Pelodiscus sinensis: one gene and its partner. The protein of the gene in region 2 interacts with the protein of the main gene of each other region in a pairwise test. Links are inferred from orthologs where the notes say so. Each region holds a gene or a part of one and is shown on either strand. Other genes may lie near its edges.

Evidence for each region. The genes of interacting proteins can lie anywhere in the genome.
Region 1: the proteins of C2H5orf22 (region 2) and ELOF1 interact in binary tests that used the Homo sapiens proteins (3 or more experiments, as listed by UniProt). The two-hybrid records come from large-scale screens. The link is inferred for Pelodiscus sinensis from reciprocal best matches to the Homo sapiens genes C5orf22 and ELOF1.

What each region holds. Positions count from the first base shown.
Region 1 is NC_134729.1:12,748,544-12,756,005, forward strand, and holds the start of ELOF1 (transcription elongation factor 1 homolog), read right to left. Parts: upstream 3,411-7,462; 5' UTR 3,280-3,410; intron 2,296-3,279; 5' UTR 2,290-2,295; coding exon 2,174-2,289; intron 112-2,173; coding exon 41-111; intron 1-40. UniProt on the Homo sapiens protein: Factor involved in transcription-coupled nucleotide excision repair (TC-NER), a mechanism that rapidly removes RNA polymerase II-blocking lesions from the transcribed strand of active genes.
Region 2 is NC_134712.1:120,056,346-120,064,269, forward strand, and holds the start of C2H5orf22 (UPF0489 protein C5orf22 homolog), read right to left. Parts: upstream 3,051-7,924; 5' UTR 2,908-3,050; coding exon 2,830-2,907; intron 1-2,829.

The sequences.
Region 1 (7,462 bases), on a different chromosome or scaffold from region 2:
AAAGAGACGCTGCTTCAGTCATTGGAAGTGCAAAGGATACATGTTATGGGAGTCTGAAATTCTTCCAGACACACAGTACATGATATTACGCCAGTGTTCCGAGCCCGGTCCCTGGAATATAGAAAACAATATTCCAACAGCAAATATTTCCAAAGGAAAGCTCAAAGAGCAAACAAACAAGAGCAAGTGGTTTGAGAAATTGAACAGAAGAATGCACTTCTCAACAGTACCTACTGAAACAAGACACAACATTAACAAATTAAGCATCACAACCCAAGAGCTGCTAAGTTATTCACATTTTACTGACACAAAACAGTGAATGGAAGGGAAGCAACTTGCCCAACATGATCGTGAAGCAAGTTGGTTGCAAGAGCTGGAAAAAGAACCCAGGAGTCCTGACTCCTGGTCTTCTGCTTTCACCAACGGATTATGTTCCATCTCAGGATTTATGAGAGGTTAAAAGAACTGAACATTTAGGCATTGGGCAAGAAGATAAGTAAGGTGGAAATGTGCAAACCATCTGTACTGCTCTGAAAGGTGCAGGATTTGAGATGGTACAAACCTGAGTTCCAGTGTGGTTGATTATACACTCATGAACAGGAAAACAGGGGATTTTTTTTCCTAAGCTTCACCCCAAGAAGGAAATCTTGTGGCACTTTAGTACTACTTTTATGGAAGTGATCCATGATATGAAGTCACGCTTCAGTAGTACTTGCTGATGAGGGTACAGGCAGTCCCCGGGTTACATGGATCCGACTTACATCGGATCCCTACTTACAAACAGGGTGAGGGAACCCCGCACTACCTGCTTCCCCCCAGCAGACCAGGGAGACGCGAAGCTAGCGCCCCCCTCCAGCAGACCAGGAAGATGCAGAGCGGCTTTTCTCAGCAGACACCTCAGCTTGAGAATAAAGGACTGAGGGAAGCGAGGTGTGGGAGAATAAAACTGAGCTCTGGAGAAATGTTTGGCTAGAGTTTCCCCTACAATATGTACCAGTTCCGACTTACATACAAATTCAACTTAAGAACAAACCTACAGTCCCTATCTTGTACGTAACCCGGGGACTGCCTGTATAGCAAAACCCCAGATGCCCTTCCTGTGAGCTAATTACAGTTGCTCTCTTATATCATTTAAAAAGTAAGTTCCTTAGTTACAGAAATGCTTCCATATGGCTCTTCCTGTCACAAACAGACTACACTACAATTAAATCAACTGGCCTGTTTAGCCTTATATCCCTCTTTCTGTCCTATGCCAGATCAAACCAAATGGACCCCTTTTAGCCTGGCTTTCATTTCCAATTGGAAGAGACCAATTGGCCCAGCTTACTCTGTAACATTCCCCTTCCTTGCCAGGCCAGACCTGACAAATGGCTCACCAATCTACAGATTATAAGTGCTAATAGTAATAGCAACTACAGCCCCTAGCTCTAGTTCTTTTTGTGTGTAGACCTCAAGCAATATATAAATGACACTGGCATTATTATTCCCATTTTACAAACGGGGAAACCGAGGCAGAGAGACATGAAGTTTCACCGGTTAAACAGTTAACCGGTTAACAGGCGGTCCAGCTGGGCTGGAGCTAACTTCTGTCCAACATGGATGGGAGGGCTGCTCCAGCCTGGTTGGCACACCGTGCTGCAGGCAGGGGATCACTGTGAGCTAGCCGGGCTGGAGGGTCCCTCCACCTGCGAGATTCTGTTTAAGCGATTAACTGGTTAAATGGGATTTTTACATGCCTACTCAGCAGACCAGGGGCAGAACTGGAAAGAGAATCAATATATCTGGAGTCCTGGCCCAGTGCGTTAATCACTATAGAGCTAGATATGAATATCTACTCTGTTTTGTCCACCCTTCCCTTGCTACTACACTGGATCAAACCAATAGGCCAATCTAGCCCTGTTTCCTCCCCCTGTCACACCAGACCAAGACTACAGCCTAGTGTCCTACCTCCAGCAGTGGCCAGCATGACACTTCAGCGAATGCCTGGCATCCCCCCGGAAACACCTCTAACCCCACAATGCAAGGACTTCCTGACCCAGCCCCAGATGGGAATGAGGTCATCCCCTTCACCCCGAGAAGCGACAGGCAGTGTAAGCGCACCCTTTGGAGCCCTAGCACAGCCGTCCAGCTGGCTGCGCCCCGGCACTGGAACCAGAAACGCCGCTCTGCTTACATTTTGACGTCACAGGATTTCTCGTGGTTACAGAAGGGGCAGGTGAACTGCGTCTCCAGGGTGCCCGTCATCTTCTTCTTGGGTGGGGGCTTCCGCTTTGACTTCCTGCGGCCCATCTTTGCCTGTAAGTTGCAGACAAGAGAGAAAGTGTCAGTCCGGTCGGAGCCAGGGAGAATGGCACATGCTGCCCTTTTGCTTCACCCCCAGCTGCAGCACACTCAGGAATGGGGGGGGAAGGGGCTGCAACGGGATGGGGGTAGAAGTGCTCTCTGGGATTTAACCAAACCCTCCCAACACCACAGCCCCCCCGGGATGGGGAATCCCCCAGATACAGGGGCCCAGCGCGCCCCCCCGGGATGGGGAATCCCCCAGATACAGGGGCCCAGCGCCCCCCCCCCCGGGGATGGGGAATCCCCCAGTTACAGGGGCCCAGCGCCCCCCCCCCGGGATGGGGAATCCCCCAGTTACAGGGGCCCAGCGCCCCCCCCCGGGATGGGGAATCCCCCAGTTACAGGGGCCCAGCGCCCCCCCCCGGGATGGGGAATCCCCCAGATACAGGGGCCCAACGCCCCCCCCCCGGGATGGGGAATCCCCCAGGTACAGGGGCCCAACGCCCCCCCCCCCCGGGATGGGGAATCCCCCAGGTACAGGGGCCCAACGCCCCCCCCCCCGGGATGGGGAATCCCCCAGGTACAGGGGCCCAGCGCCCCCCCCCCGGGATGGGGAATCCCCCAGGTACAGGGGCCCAGCGCCCCCCCCCCCGGGATGGGGAATCCCCCAGGTACAGTGGCCCAGCGCCCCCCCCCCCCCGGGATGGGGAATCCCCCAGGTACAGGGGCCCAGCGCCCCCCCCCCCCGGGATGGGGAATCCCCCAGGTACAGGGGCCCAGCGCCCCCCCCCCGGGATGGGGAATCCCCCAGGTACAGGGGCCCAGCGCCCCCCCCCCCCCCGGGATGGGGAATCCCCCAGGTACAGGGGCCCAGCGCCCCCCCCCCGGGATGGGGAATCCCCCAGGTACGGGGGACAAGAGCCGACCCAGCCCCCCCAGGGACCCGCGGGTCACTTCCGGGGCGGGGGGGGGGAGATCGCAGTCAGGCCCCCCCACCTGTGGCCAGCCTCCTGCCCGGGCCGCGTTTCCAACGGCGACCGGCACTTCCGGCGCCGAACCGGAAGAGAAACGCGCTCGGCCCGCCCGCCCCGCGGGCGCCCATTGGCTGGCCTTCCCGCCCAGCGCGGAATGATTGACAGCACGGGCAGGCGGAAATGAGGGCACAGGAGGGCGCCTGGAGCGGAAGTGGGGCTGAGGTGATCCCCCCCCCTGTTTCCAAGATGGCCCCCGTAGCGGGGGAGACCCCAAGATTTACGGGACCCCCAGACCCGAGGGGGGGGGCAGGCGGGAGGGACCCCCAGCCCGAGGGGGGGCAGGCGGGGGGGTCCCTTGGGGCAGAGGCTCGGCGCTGGGGGGCCCTGCCTCGGGCGTGTGGCCCCCCCGGGCGGTGCCACACAAGTGGCTGGAGTGTGGTTGCCCCAGCAGAGGGCGGGGCACAAGCCCCTCCCCCCCCCCCCCCCCCCCGCGCTGCCAGCAGGCGACTCATCCAGCAGGACGGGGGAGGCAGAACAGCCCCCCCCCCCCGCAGCGTTTGCCCAGGATTCGCACCCCTGGCCCGGGGGGGGGGGGGGTGGGGTGGTGAGGAGCAGGGCCTGGGCCTCGCCTTCCCCGCAGGCCTCCTGACCGGCGAGATGGGCCCCAGATACAGGGCAAACAGGCAGCTGATTAGAGGCTGTTAACGGCCATGGACAGGCTTCGCCCTGCAGATAAGCAAAGTCAGATGGGATGGGATGGGGGGGTCGGTCTCTGGCCCTTTAAGTACATGGCTGCGACTAGACTGGCATGATTTTGCGGAAATATTTTTAACGGAAAAACTTTTCCATTAAAAGTATTCCCGCAGCAGCGCGTCTAGATTGGCCCGGATGCTTTTGCGCAAAAAGTGGCCAGTGTAGACGCGATTTTGCACAAGAAAGCCCCGATCGCCATTTTAGCCATGGGGGCTTTTTTGTGCAAAACAGTTCTTCCCTGTCTTCACTGGCCGCCTTGTGCAAGTATTCTTGCGCAAGAGGGCTTTTTCCCAAGCGGGAGCGTGAAAGTATTTGGGCAAGAAGCACTGATTTTGTATATTACAAAGTCAGTGCTCTTGCGCAAATTCAAACAGCCAGTGTGGACAGCTGGCAAGTTTTTGCACAAAAGCGCTTGCTTTTGCGCAAAATCTTACCAGTCTAGACGCACCCCATTAGAAAAAGACTTCTTAGGGGTCTGTGCTGGCTGGATTTGGCCCGGTTTTTGAGTTGTGCAATTATTTTGTTTTTGCAATGGGCAAAGAGGAAACCTCTATTTAAAACCAGCTCTTTTCTGCCTGCTTGGGATTACTGGCCAGGAAAGCATGTGCAGCCTCACTGTTGATGCTGTGTGTCTGTGTCTTGCTTGGTTTGGGACGGTAGGACTCTGTCTGCACTACGGTGTCAATAGCTGGGGTGCCGTAGCTGTGCTGTTGTAACCTGGTCATGTAGGCTCAAGGTGTAGCCACACAAGGGGAATTTCCATCTTTACCATCTCCCTGTCGGAAGATAGAGCTAGGTTGGCAAAGGAGTGTTTCTATCTACCTTCGGGCTTAGCATAGCTACAGGGAGTAGCATAGCTATTTTTCCGGTTGCTGAACATTTGCTATGTTGACCAGACCTGAAACTAGACATTGGACTATCAGCCTTTGAAGGCTTAATCCTCATGCCTTGTAGCACAGTGCCATTGACTCTGGTTCTCAACATAGTAGGTGTGTCTGTTTACCGGGCTTTGTCAACACCTCCAATTGAATGACAAAACTTCTGTACTTCACAGGAGCTTGAACTTGCTGTGGCAAGTGGGTGTAAACAACTTGTTGCCAGCAGGAGGGCTTGCCTGTCCACAAAGATGAACTTGCCTGGGGGAGGGGGGATTTTTTGCATGCAAACATTTTGTGACATAGGGACAATTGCACCAGTTTTCAAACAAGTATCTTTATGCTTTCTCCCCTGCAGCCCCTTGCAAAAACCTTGACAAAAGTTAGGCAGCTGCTGACCAGTATGGCTTCCTTGTGCTGTATCTACCTGCTCTCACCTATTTTATAATTAGATTAGAAGCACTTTGGAACAAAGACCAGTTTTTAATTGGATATGTGTGCCACCTGTAGCAACCTCAGGTTCTGGGCTGTAACTGGGGCTCCTAGATGCTGTGGTAACACACTAAGACGGATGCTTTTGTGCAAAATCTTGCCGCCTGTCTACACTGGCCGCGAGTATTTGCGCAAGAACACTGACTTTGTACTGTACAAAATCAGTGGTTCTTGCGTAAATACTCTGACGCTCCCGCTCAGGGATAAACCCTCTTGCGCAAGAGGGCCAGTGTAGACAGCCAAGTTGATTTCTTGCGCAAGAAAGCCAGGGGCTAAAATGGCCATCGGAGCTTTCTTGCACAAGAGAGCGTCTACACTGGCACGGATGTCCAATATAGTTAAATTGGAGCAAACACCTTGGATTCTGGGAGGATGCTGATTTGGGATTTAAACGTGGCTGATTTGGGATTTAAACGTGACTTATTTTGGTTTCACCTAAACCTGTTCCCACTCTTAAGCTAAAAAGAGTTGCCCTCCTGTTTAAGACAGGCCAGAGAACAGCCCTGAATGAATCCCTGTTTGAATTGGAGTCTATCTTGTACAAAACAATATCCGCTCAAGTTAAAAACATCTGGGAGCACTCATGTTCATCTGCTCAGGTTGAAACTTGCGTTCAAATCTCTTCCTTACATCCCAGAAAACCCCTCCTCCTTTAATTAGAGAAACTTTTCTGTTCATATTCGAGTGCTGGGGACAGAGTACAGGACAGACTTTGGAGACTGGGGGTCTGTGGGGCATGCCCTTGTGGAGAAGCAAAAGTGGGGGTGTTAAAGATGGGGAGGCAGCCTTCTTTCTTCCCTGATGTGGTTCCCAGCTACTGATCCATGGGGTGTTTCCGTATGTTCTTTCCTCAACCACCTGCTGGGGTTAAGGTTCTTTCAGTAGGTGCCCTCATTGTAGGTGTCTGTTTGCCAAGGAAAATGTGGTAGCGATTGGAAGCACCAATGAGAAGGGATCTGGTCAGGCAAGCAGCTTCCAGCTCAGGAGGTGTGGGGGAGGGAGAAGGCTAGGCTATGAAGTGTGAAAATGCCATCCCTGCACATCCCAAAACCCTCATATGGCTCATCATTTCTGGACCTGATTGGGAGACTTCTCCATTCATCTGAAGAAGTGGGTTGTGCCCACAAAAGCACATGACCCCATCCACATTCGCAGGGCAGTGGGAGAGCCAGGGCTGAGCTAGCAAGAGGCCGTGGGTCAGGATTATTTGAGTGCGACACTAGCAGAGCTCTGAGTGTTTGAACCTAGAGCCAGGGTAGCAGGGGGCTGCACTTTGGGAAGGAGGGGCGTTGGCAGAACTCTGCAGCCGTCCGTCCCAACTTGCCCCTCTGTTTCCCAAATGTCGTGTCATCGTGCCCAAGGTATGTGGAGAGAAAACCAACATTGCTTTTCCCAGCATAATTTACTGAAAATAATCACAAGAAACTCACGTACAAGAGTCTGCTCCCTTCAAGGCAGATTCAGGGAGCAGATCACAGGTGCTATGCTGCATCGTGTAAAGAAGTTTCTCCAGAGCTTACAAGTCTGACAGACGTGGGGATCGCACACACGCACGCAGAGGCACACACACACACACACCGTTTTACATTTAAACTGGGAGCAAACCCCCTGGACCAGTCAGTATCTGAGGGTTAAAAACAAACAACTCAAAGCCATGCTGGATTTGAGCAGTGCTGAGGCCTCTTCCGGCACAACTCAGTTTACTGGCCTGCCAGGAGCAACACCATAAAAATCAGCTTCCCAACTGCATGGCACGTGGCTGAGGATTTTGTTCCCGAGAGAAGGGAGTTCATAGCACTTCCAGGTGGCAAGACCAGGGAGCAGCTCACCTGAGAGAGCCGTGGGTAGGGACTTTTGTTGCAGTAGCTGTAGAGATCCCCGAGGAATTGAGAGTCACAGAGCAGGGAGCAGGGAAGGGGCTTAGCCCCGTTTTAGAGGCGGGGAGCTGGTGCCCAGAGAGACAGCGACAAGGTCACGCCAGGCAATACCGTGCCATAGTCCTCAAACCCAGCTCTGCTTTGGAGCCATGCGGCCAGCTTGCCTGGCCCTGGGAAAGCGTTGCAGATACCCTCCCCCCACAGCAGC
Region 2 (7,924 bases):
GACTGGTAACTATTCCATCAGCAGGGTGTGACTGTGTATGTGTGTGTGTGTAAATGCATGCTACTTTGTTATATTATCAATAAATGTGGCGTGTTGCCTTATCCCCCTGAAAAAGATCCCGTGTGCTTCTTTTAAGCATAACAGCTGATTCCAATGTATTACCTTTTCCCATAATTTCCTGCAACTGTGAAAATAACAATCAATAAAATATACAAAAAGAAAAATCTTTAAACCCATAATCTGGTGCATCTGTTGGAAAAAATGAATAATAAAGGCTAAACATAACCAGTGACATTATCCATCAAAATTAAACGCAAATTCGGTGAAACCTGCATTACTCAGGCTGTAAGACACTCTCACAGGCCCTATACTGTCAACATGGAGATTGCAGACATACAGCCCCCATACACACAAGAGACAGGGGGCAAGGCTAACTTGTTCCCAGTTTATGTGAGGCTACAGACTGGCAGAGTGAAGGGAGCCTTTAGGCAACTGACTCTGCATACAAGTTCTATGAATTCAGTACCCCTGCTTATTGCCAGCAGCACCAGTCACAGAAGACATATGCCTCTGTATGAAATGGGTCTCTTATGAGAAGCGTGCAAAGCTTTTAATGGGCCCTCTTTTCTTGGGTGAATTACACCTGATATGTTCAGCACAGGCCAAAAAGCCCATTTACTATGTTAAGACAGGTTAAATTTTTTTGTACCTTTTTGGATGTTATTTTACTTTGCCAGCATTTCCTAGATTATGTTATGGTATATTTATGGCAAAATAATGTGAAAATAAGATAGACATATGAATGACTGGGCTCTGATTTGAGCCTTTTCAGTTGCTTATCTTACTATATATTTTAGAAATGAGAGTCAGTCTGTGAGTCCATTTGTTCAAGAACTGCTCCTAAATAGTAAGAGCTATGCAGCTTCCTCTTATCATAACTTAAAGCAAGGTCAGGGTTTGGTTGTGCCAGGATAAGTGAATGTGCATGGAAGGTGGTTATTTCACATCAAACAGAAAGGGGTGTGAGAGAGAGCAGGGACCATTATAAACATGCATGACCACAGGGGGCCAGGAAGTGCCCCAGTGAGCAGCTTCTGGCTGTTAGTACGGTGCCCGCCACTCCAGGGAGCAGATGCCAGAAGTGAGTGCTGATCACAAGATTGTCTACAGAGGGGCTTATGATTTGCAATGCTCTGTGCTTCCACAAGTCAGACTGTGCATTTTCTATACTATTTCTGCCAGCGGAGGAGATAGATCAGAACTGTCACAAGGACTATGGGAGCAACCCCCAAACCTGTTCATTGGTGCATAAAGGAAATTCTGGGGATTGGGGAAGCTAATTCCCATTCAGCGATCTTGTATGGATGTGTCAAATACCTAGTCCCTTTACACAATGGCCAAGGTGGATAAATGGCATGTTATTTGGAGTGACTGCCTAAGCTGCAAGGCAATAATTATAAACTGAGTTTTTCATGCAGTTACCAAAGACAATTGGTGATGCAAAAAAGATATTTTGTATCATAGACTAGTACTTGTATAATGGCTACTAAAATAAGGGAGACAGCTAACCAGTACAGTATGTGCTAAAGGTGTGATGCAGTAGGTATCACAGTAAGTAACAATTTAAAATCATGTGTAGGTGCTCTGTTGTGATCTATGCTACAGACTTATGATGATGTACATGTCACCCAGAGTGTGAAAAATCAGCACACCTGATCAGCAGTTACATTGACCAAATTCCTGTTGTAGGAAGGACTATATCTCTGGCAGCGTTTCTGGTGTCAGCATGGGGGAAGTAGAGTACCTATGCTTGTAGGAGAAGTTCTCATTTGTGTAGATAGTGTCCAAGTGCCACAAGAGCACTGCAGCATCCATGTAAACTGTGCTGCTGCAGTGCTGTATGTGCTGACAAGCTCTTTATCTCACAGGCGTCATTCCTGCATAATAATTTGCATAGGTGCAACAGTGTAGTGAAGCAAAACACATGCCCAAGGATAAGTCTATATAGCATTGCAAATCTGGGCTAACCCTCAGATTTGATCCCACCCATGTCCACAAAGAAATCTGTCTAAATCAGGTCAACAAGCAATCAGGACCCAGGTCCTTTTGAGCCTAATGCCTGTCCTACAATACAGGTAGGTCAAAAAAGGCAGCTTATATCAAACTAATTCTATAAGCATGTACATCAAAATGTAGCTCCCACCAATGTAACTCACCCACTACTGACAACTTCAAATCCAGGAGAGGTGCAGTGTTTAGGTCGATGTCACTAGGTTGCTACAGTGTCAGTGTAGACACTGCATTGCTTACATTGATTGTAGCTGCCTTTCAGAAGTCACCCCCCAGTGCCCCACACCAGCAGCTCAATCATAGGTGCAAGCACTTAGTCCTGGAACAAGGACATGTAATGTAGCCACCAAACCTAATGTAATTACTGCTGTGGCTATACATCGTTGTAACTTAGGTCAACTTAATTTTAAAGTGTGAATTAGGTCCAAACTTTGTCTTGCAGCTGGAGACAGCTCCAGCCACAGGCTGAAGTCAGGCCTGCCTATTAACGTGGCTGTGCGAGCCCCAGAGCCAGTAACTGTAAAACCAGGTTTAGCATGTGGTGCCCATGTTCAATTGCAGGCTTGGAAACACAGAGCATGCACCGCAGGCCCCTCAGTCCCGGCCTTAGTGCAGCACAGGCATAATCTCAGAGATTTGGTCGTGGTGGGAACTGACTCCCAGAGACCCAGGGCTGGGCTGTGTCCCTTTCAGCGGTTCTAGCCCCAACAGCAGTCCCGGTGCGGGTCCCAGTTATCACCCCCCCCCCCCAGCACTTACATCCTGGTGATCCTCCACCACGCACACGGGCAGCGCCGGGTAGCTCCGCAAGCGGCCCGGCTGCCCTGCGCTGCTCATGGCGGCCGCGCTAGGCGAGCGTTCGGAGCCAAGAACTTTCGGGCCAGCAACGTTCTACGGTCCGAACGCCGAGGGCCGCGACGTTCCGCGGAGCACCAGCGTGGGACACCCGTGCGGCAAGGGGAGGAGCAGGGGGCGGCCCCCCTCCCCTGCCATGGGCCGGGCCGCCGCGCTCCGCAGCCGGGGCTCCCCCGCAGGGGAGGGGAGCGCACGGGGCCAGGGGCTCGCCGGCCCTTCCTTGGCCCATTGCCCGCCCCCTCTGTGACCCGGCCCGGATGGCTGCGGCTGGGCTTCCGCGCGGGGTGGATGCTCCTCCCTCCCTTTTCCTGTTCCGGAGCCGGTGTCTGGCTGACTGGTGCCCGGCCTGCGCCGCGGGTGTTGGTCTGCGAGGGGGGCTCGTGCAGGTAGGATGGATGCCCCCACCCCCTCCCTAGGAGAGCGGTTCTCTCCCCCCGCTTCGTGCTGGGAGGGGGCTCCCTATTCCCCGGGTCCCACCTCCCCTTCCCAGGAACCAGCGTCTTCCCTCCGCTTCCTTCCCGGCTGGGCACCTTGCTCAGGATGCCGGGTAGGGTTGGAGCTGTCTGCGCTGATTTCACGTGGACCCTTTTCACTGGGTCGCTTAGGTTTGAATGGAGGGGAACCAGAAACCCACTAGAGCTGCTGCGTATCGCCTGGGACTTAATGCCAGGATGGCTTCCTTCCTCCTGCAAGAGCTTTGGGTGCAGACTTGTGTGTTTCCTCCTACCTTTTGTTTGGTGTTTGCAGCAGCTGCGTTGAGTTACAGGTTGACTGCAAAATCCCAAGTTCACAGAACTTTGTCTTGCTTTGTAGTTTGTCCTGGGCACACCTAAGGGCTTGCCCACACTACAAAGTTGTGTTTTAACAGTACAGGTACAGTCAAAACGGTGTGACCTCCCTAGTGTGGATGCAGTCATATCCATATAAAGATGCTTATAGTGATAGAGCTATTGTAGGGCAAAGGAAATAATTATCCTGATAGAAAGTGGTGTAGCCCTGCTACTTTGGATGTGGTTACATTGGTTTATAAAGGTGCTTCCTCTACAGGGAAAAGAAAATCTAATGTGTAGTGGCATAAATCACTTTTTATGCCATTAAAAATATCATCCCTTAACTGAAATAGCCCCTAACTGGTAAAACAGCTTTAAGCATAGGCAAGGCCTAAATGTGATGCACAGCTGATACCATCTATCAAAGCTCTCAGACTGTCTGATGTAGGGCTGCCAACTTTCCTGACTGGATGGATGGGACATCACTGCTGCAAATGGCATCTGGTCTATGAAGCCAGGAAAGCTGGTAACTCTAGATCCGTGGTGCCCAACACCCTAGCCACATGTGGCTGGTTGACTGTGGTTAGTTCGCTTTAGCAATAGCTACTAGAGGATGTGTCTAGACTACAGGGTTTTTTCGAAAAAAGTGGCCTTTTTCCAAAAAAACTTCCCCTGCGTTTAGACTGCTGCCATTTTCTTTCAAAATTAAATCAAAAGAACGTGGCGTTTTTTTCAACTGTGGTAAACTTCATTTTACAAGGAAGAACGCCTTTTTTCAAAAGTGCTCTTTCGAAAAAAGGTGTTCTTGAATGCAAACAGGGCTTCTTCGAAAGAAAGCATCCAGGCTGCCTGGGTGCTCTCTTTTGAAAAAGCGATCTGTTTTTTCGAAAGAAGTGGTTGCAGTCTAGATGCTGTCTTTTGAAAGAGGCTAGATGTAGTCTAGACATAGCCATAGTGGCTACTGCTTCAGAACTGGTTGAACACCACGGATCTGGATGATGGCCTCTTGACACCACCCTTTCTGGCTTAAAGGTCAGACATAAGGCTCTGCTGTTAGGATGGAGCAAAAATAGACTACTTTCAGAAGACTGCTCAAACAACACACTTGTAAATTGCTAGTGTGGTGACTGAGGAATATCTGTGTTAAGATCCTTACATAGTGTCATCACCCACAGTATCTGTGGGAAGAAAACTACAAAATTAGAAAAAAATGAGTGGTCCTGTTGTACCTTAGAGATTAACATAAATATATAAATATTATCATGATTTTTCATGGGCACAACTCACTTCTTTGAAAGAGTAGAGCAGCTTTTTTTGCTCCATTCTTCTGAAGAAGTGGGCTGTGCCCACAAAAGCTCATGGTACTATTTAAGTATTTTTGTTATTCTCTAAAATGCTATAGGACCACTAAATTACAGACTAGCACTGCTTCCCCTCCGAGACTACAAAATTAGGTCACCTTAATTTAGGTGTGTGGGGCATCCTGCCTCACAGTTGGGTCATCACCCCAGGATGAGGACTTAAGCTGTGAGCCCAGTGCCAGGTTGACAGCTGGGGGGTGGGCAGCTGTAAGCCCCATGCTGGGCGCAATATCAGGGCAAGAAGCATATTAGCAGTAAAATTGACATTCTTGTCAGTTTCAAGACGCTAGCTCTGACCTTTGCCACTGATGCTCTGAGCTGGAGGCAGCCAGGAAGTTGTCAACAGACAATGTAAGTAACAGTGTCTACATCAGGAGCAGGCAAGATTTGGCCCACCAAGCTTCTGAATCCAGCCCCTGCTCCCAGCCTTGATCCCTCACTACAACCTCATTTGCGGCTCTGGCCTCACTTCCGGACCCAGACTAAGCCTAGGCCTCCTTGGTCCTTGCCATATTTGCCTTCCCTTTCCACTCTGAGTTGTATTCCCACGCTCAGCCCCTGGCAAAGAATGCACAGCATGGACAGAGGTAAGGAAGGGCATGATGCTGAAAAGTTTGGGGCCACTGGTTTGTTGATACCACCAACATATTTTGAAGAGCCAGAAACAGAAACTACATTTTTTTTTTAATCTTTGGTATTCTTGTGAATGTGTGTTTTTTAAAGATAACAGGTCAGACCTCAACTTCAGTAGCTATAGCTCATCTAAAACGTTTTCCTCTTTTCCCCTAAAAGGAGACCGTTATTGTTACCGTTTATATAATCAGGCACTCTGTCAAACAGGGATGGAAAAGAGGGAGGAAGAAAATTTCTTTGTAAAAAGACCCTACGATTAAAGGGAATATGGACTACTATTAAAATGAAAGCAGTACTGGTTCATGCCTCATATGTCTAATGCTTTAAGTGTTTTTTTTTTTTTTTTAAATAGTTACCCATTTTAACTCAGGACCTGTCGCCCGGCCTGCCTCTAGTTTCGCTGCAGCTGTGAGGTCACATCGCATGGCCAGGGCCACTGCTATCCAGTGTGGCTGGCTGCGGGCAGAATTCACTGGCCAGGGCTGGTTAATCAGTAAGCACACCAGTAACTCTCATGCAAACCGGTATGCTTACTTTTTACCCATTTTATATCCCTAAATAAAAGCTTTGATGTTGCCATAGGATTTGGCTTGCTGAGGGCTCTGTGACTCAACCCCAAACCATGTTTAATTGTGCATGGGTCCATTTATTCCGTTTAAATTAACGGGGAATGTGATTATGCCTTGGTTATCCCTGAATTTGTCCATAGCCATGCATCCAGTTTGTAGATCATATGGCTAGGTAACTGGCAAATGGGGAAGTTGACACTCTAAAACCATTGCGTGTTTTATTTCTTTATCCTTCTTGGGTTGCTTGTGTTCTTAGATTGTGAGTTCCTTGGAAGGCATGATTATGTCTGTTTGAAAATTGCCAGGCATATTTTGGACGCTGACATAATCCCATTAATAATGATAAAACTGGACTGAAGCTCTGGAGAAATCAAGGCTTCAGCCACATTTCTCAGATAGATTTGATCAAGCTTTCACCAGTTTGTGAAATATTGGTATGCCCGGAGTACCTTACAGACTGGCACTACGTGCATAATAAGACTAGAAGAAAAGAAGGTTGGAAGCAGGTTTCCAAATGTGGTTATATTTGTAGGGTAGGCAATATCTGTAGGGTAGACAAATTCCTTCATGATTCAAGGAAGACTTTATATTTCTGACACAAGTTGTTTAGTTATTATGTGCTTGTTTATATGAAATTACTCCAATTATATTTTAAGACACTGGTGGGTTTTCTTTACTCTTTTCTCTGTGTTTTAGCGAAATGCCGTCAAATTGAAAACTACATTTAAAAATAAATCTTTATCCCACTCCTTAAAATATCAAGGTTGAAAGAATTTTAAATATTGAATGTATTTATCCATACCATTTATGTATTTGTTTCTTTTTTTCTCACATTGACTAGTCACTTCCACTGTCTGGGTCCCATATGTTAATACAATGCTACAAGTTGTGGTTGCAACCAATTAAATGTCACATTTCATTGCTTAAATGGAGGCGGGCAGGGAGCTGCTGGTTGTTGCTGCTGGTTAATTGGTTAATAACTGACATCCCTAGTTGCAGTTACTTTATGGCACTGATTCTGCAAAAGCCTTATTCATGTGCTTAACTTCATACACTGTGAGTAGTCCCATTGTCTTCAAAGTCCCATAGCATATAAAGTGGAGTGTATTGTAAGTCTTTATAGGATTGGGGCCAAAAGAGGGAGCATAAACTGCCATTGTCTTTCTGATAATAGGTTAGCTGGGATTTGATATAATAGGAAAAGTTAGTGAAATTCTTATGCTTAAGGTTTAAAATTGTATGAGTGGCACTTTTTGTGTACATTTATATTATGGTTGTTGCAGAAGTTAGAATTAATGTGCCAGCAAAACATATTACTGGATTAGTGATTTTTGGAGAGTTTTATGAAAATTATAACCAATATTCAGGTATTAGAATTAGGAATGTGAATGACTAGTCGGTTAGTTAACTCTCCGCTAAGCGAATGCTTATCAGATAGTCGACAGGCTAGTCAACGAGTTGCTTTCTCCCACCCACTCCTTGCTGCCTCTATCAGAAAGAGGAAGTAAGTGGGGGGAGGGGAGGAATGGGGTGCTTCAAGGTAGCAGGGCCACGTGGAGCCTGGTGTCAGACTCTGGGCTCCATGAGGCGCTGCTGCTTTAAAAGGCTGCACAGCAGTGCTGCATGGAGCCAGGGGTCTGCCACTTTGAACTGCCACGTGCAGCCC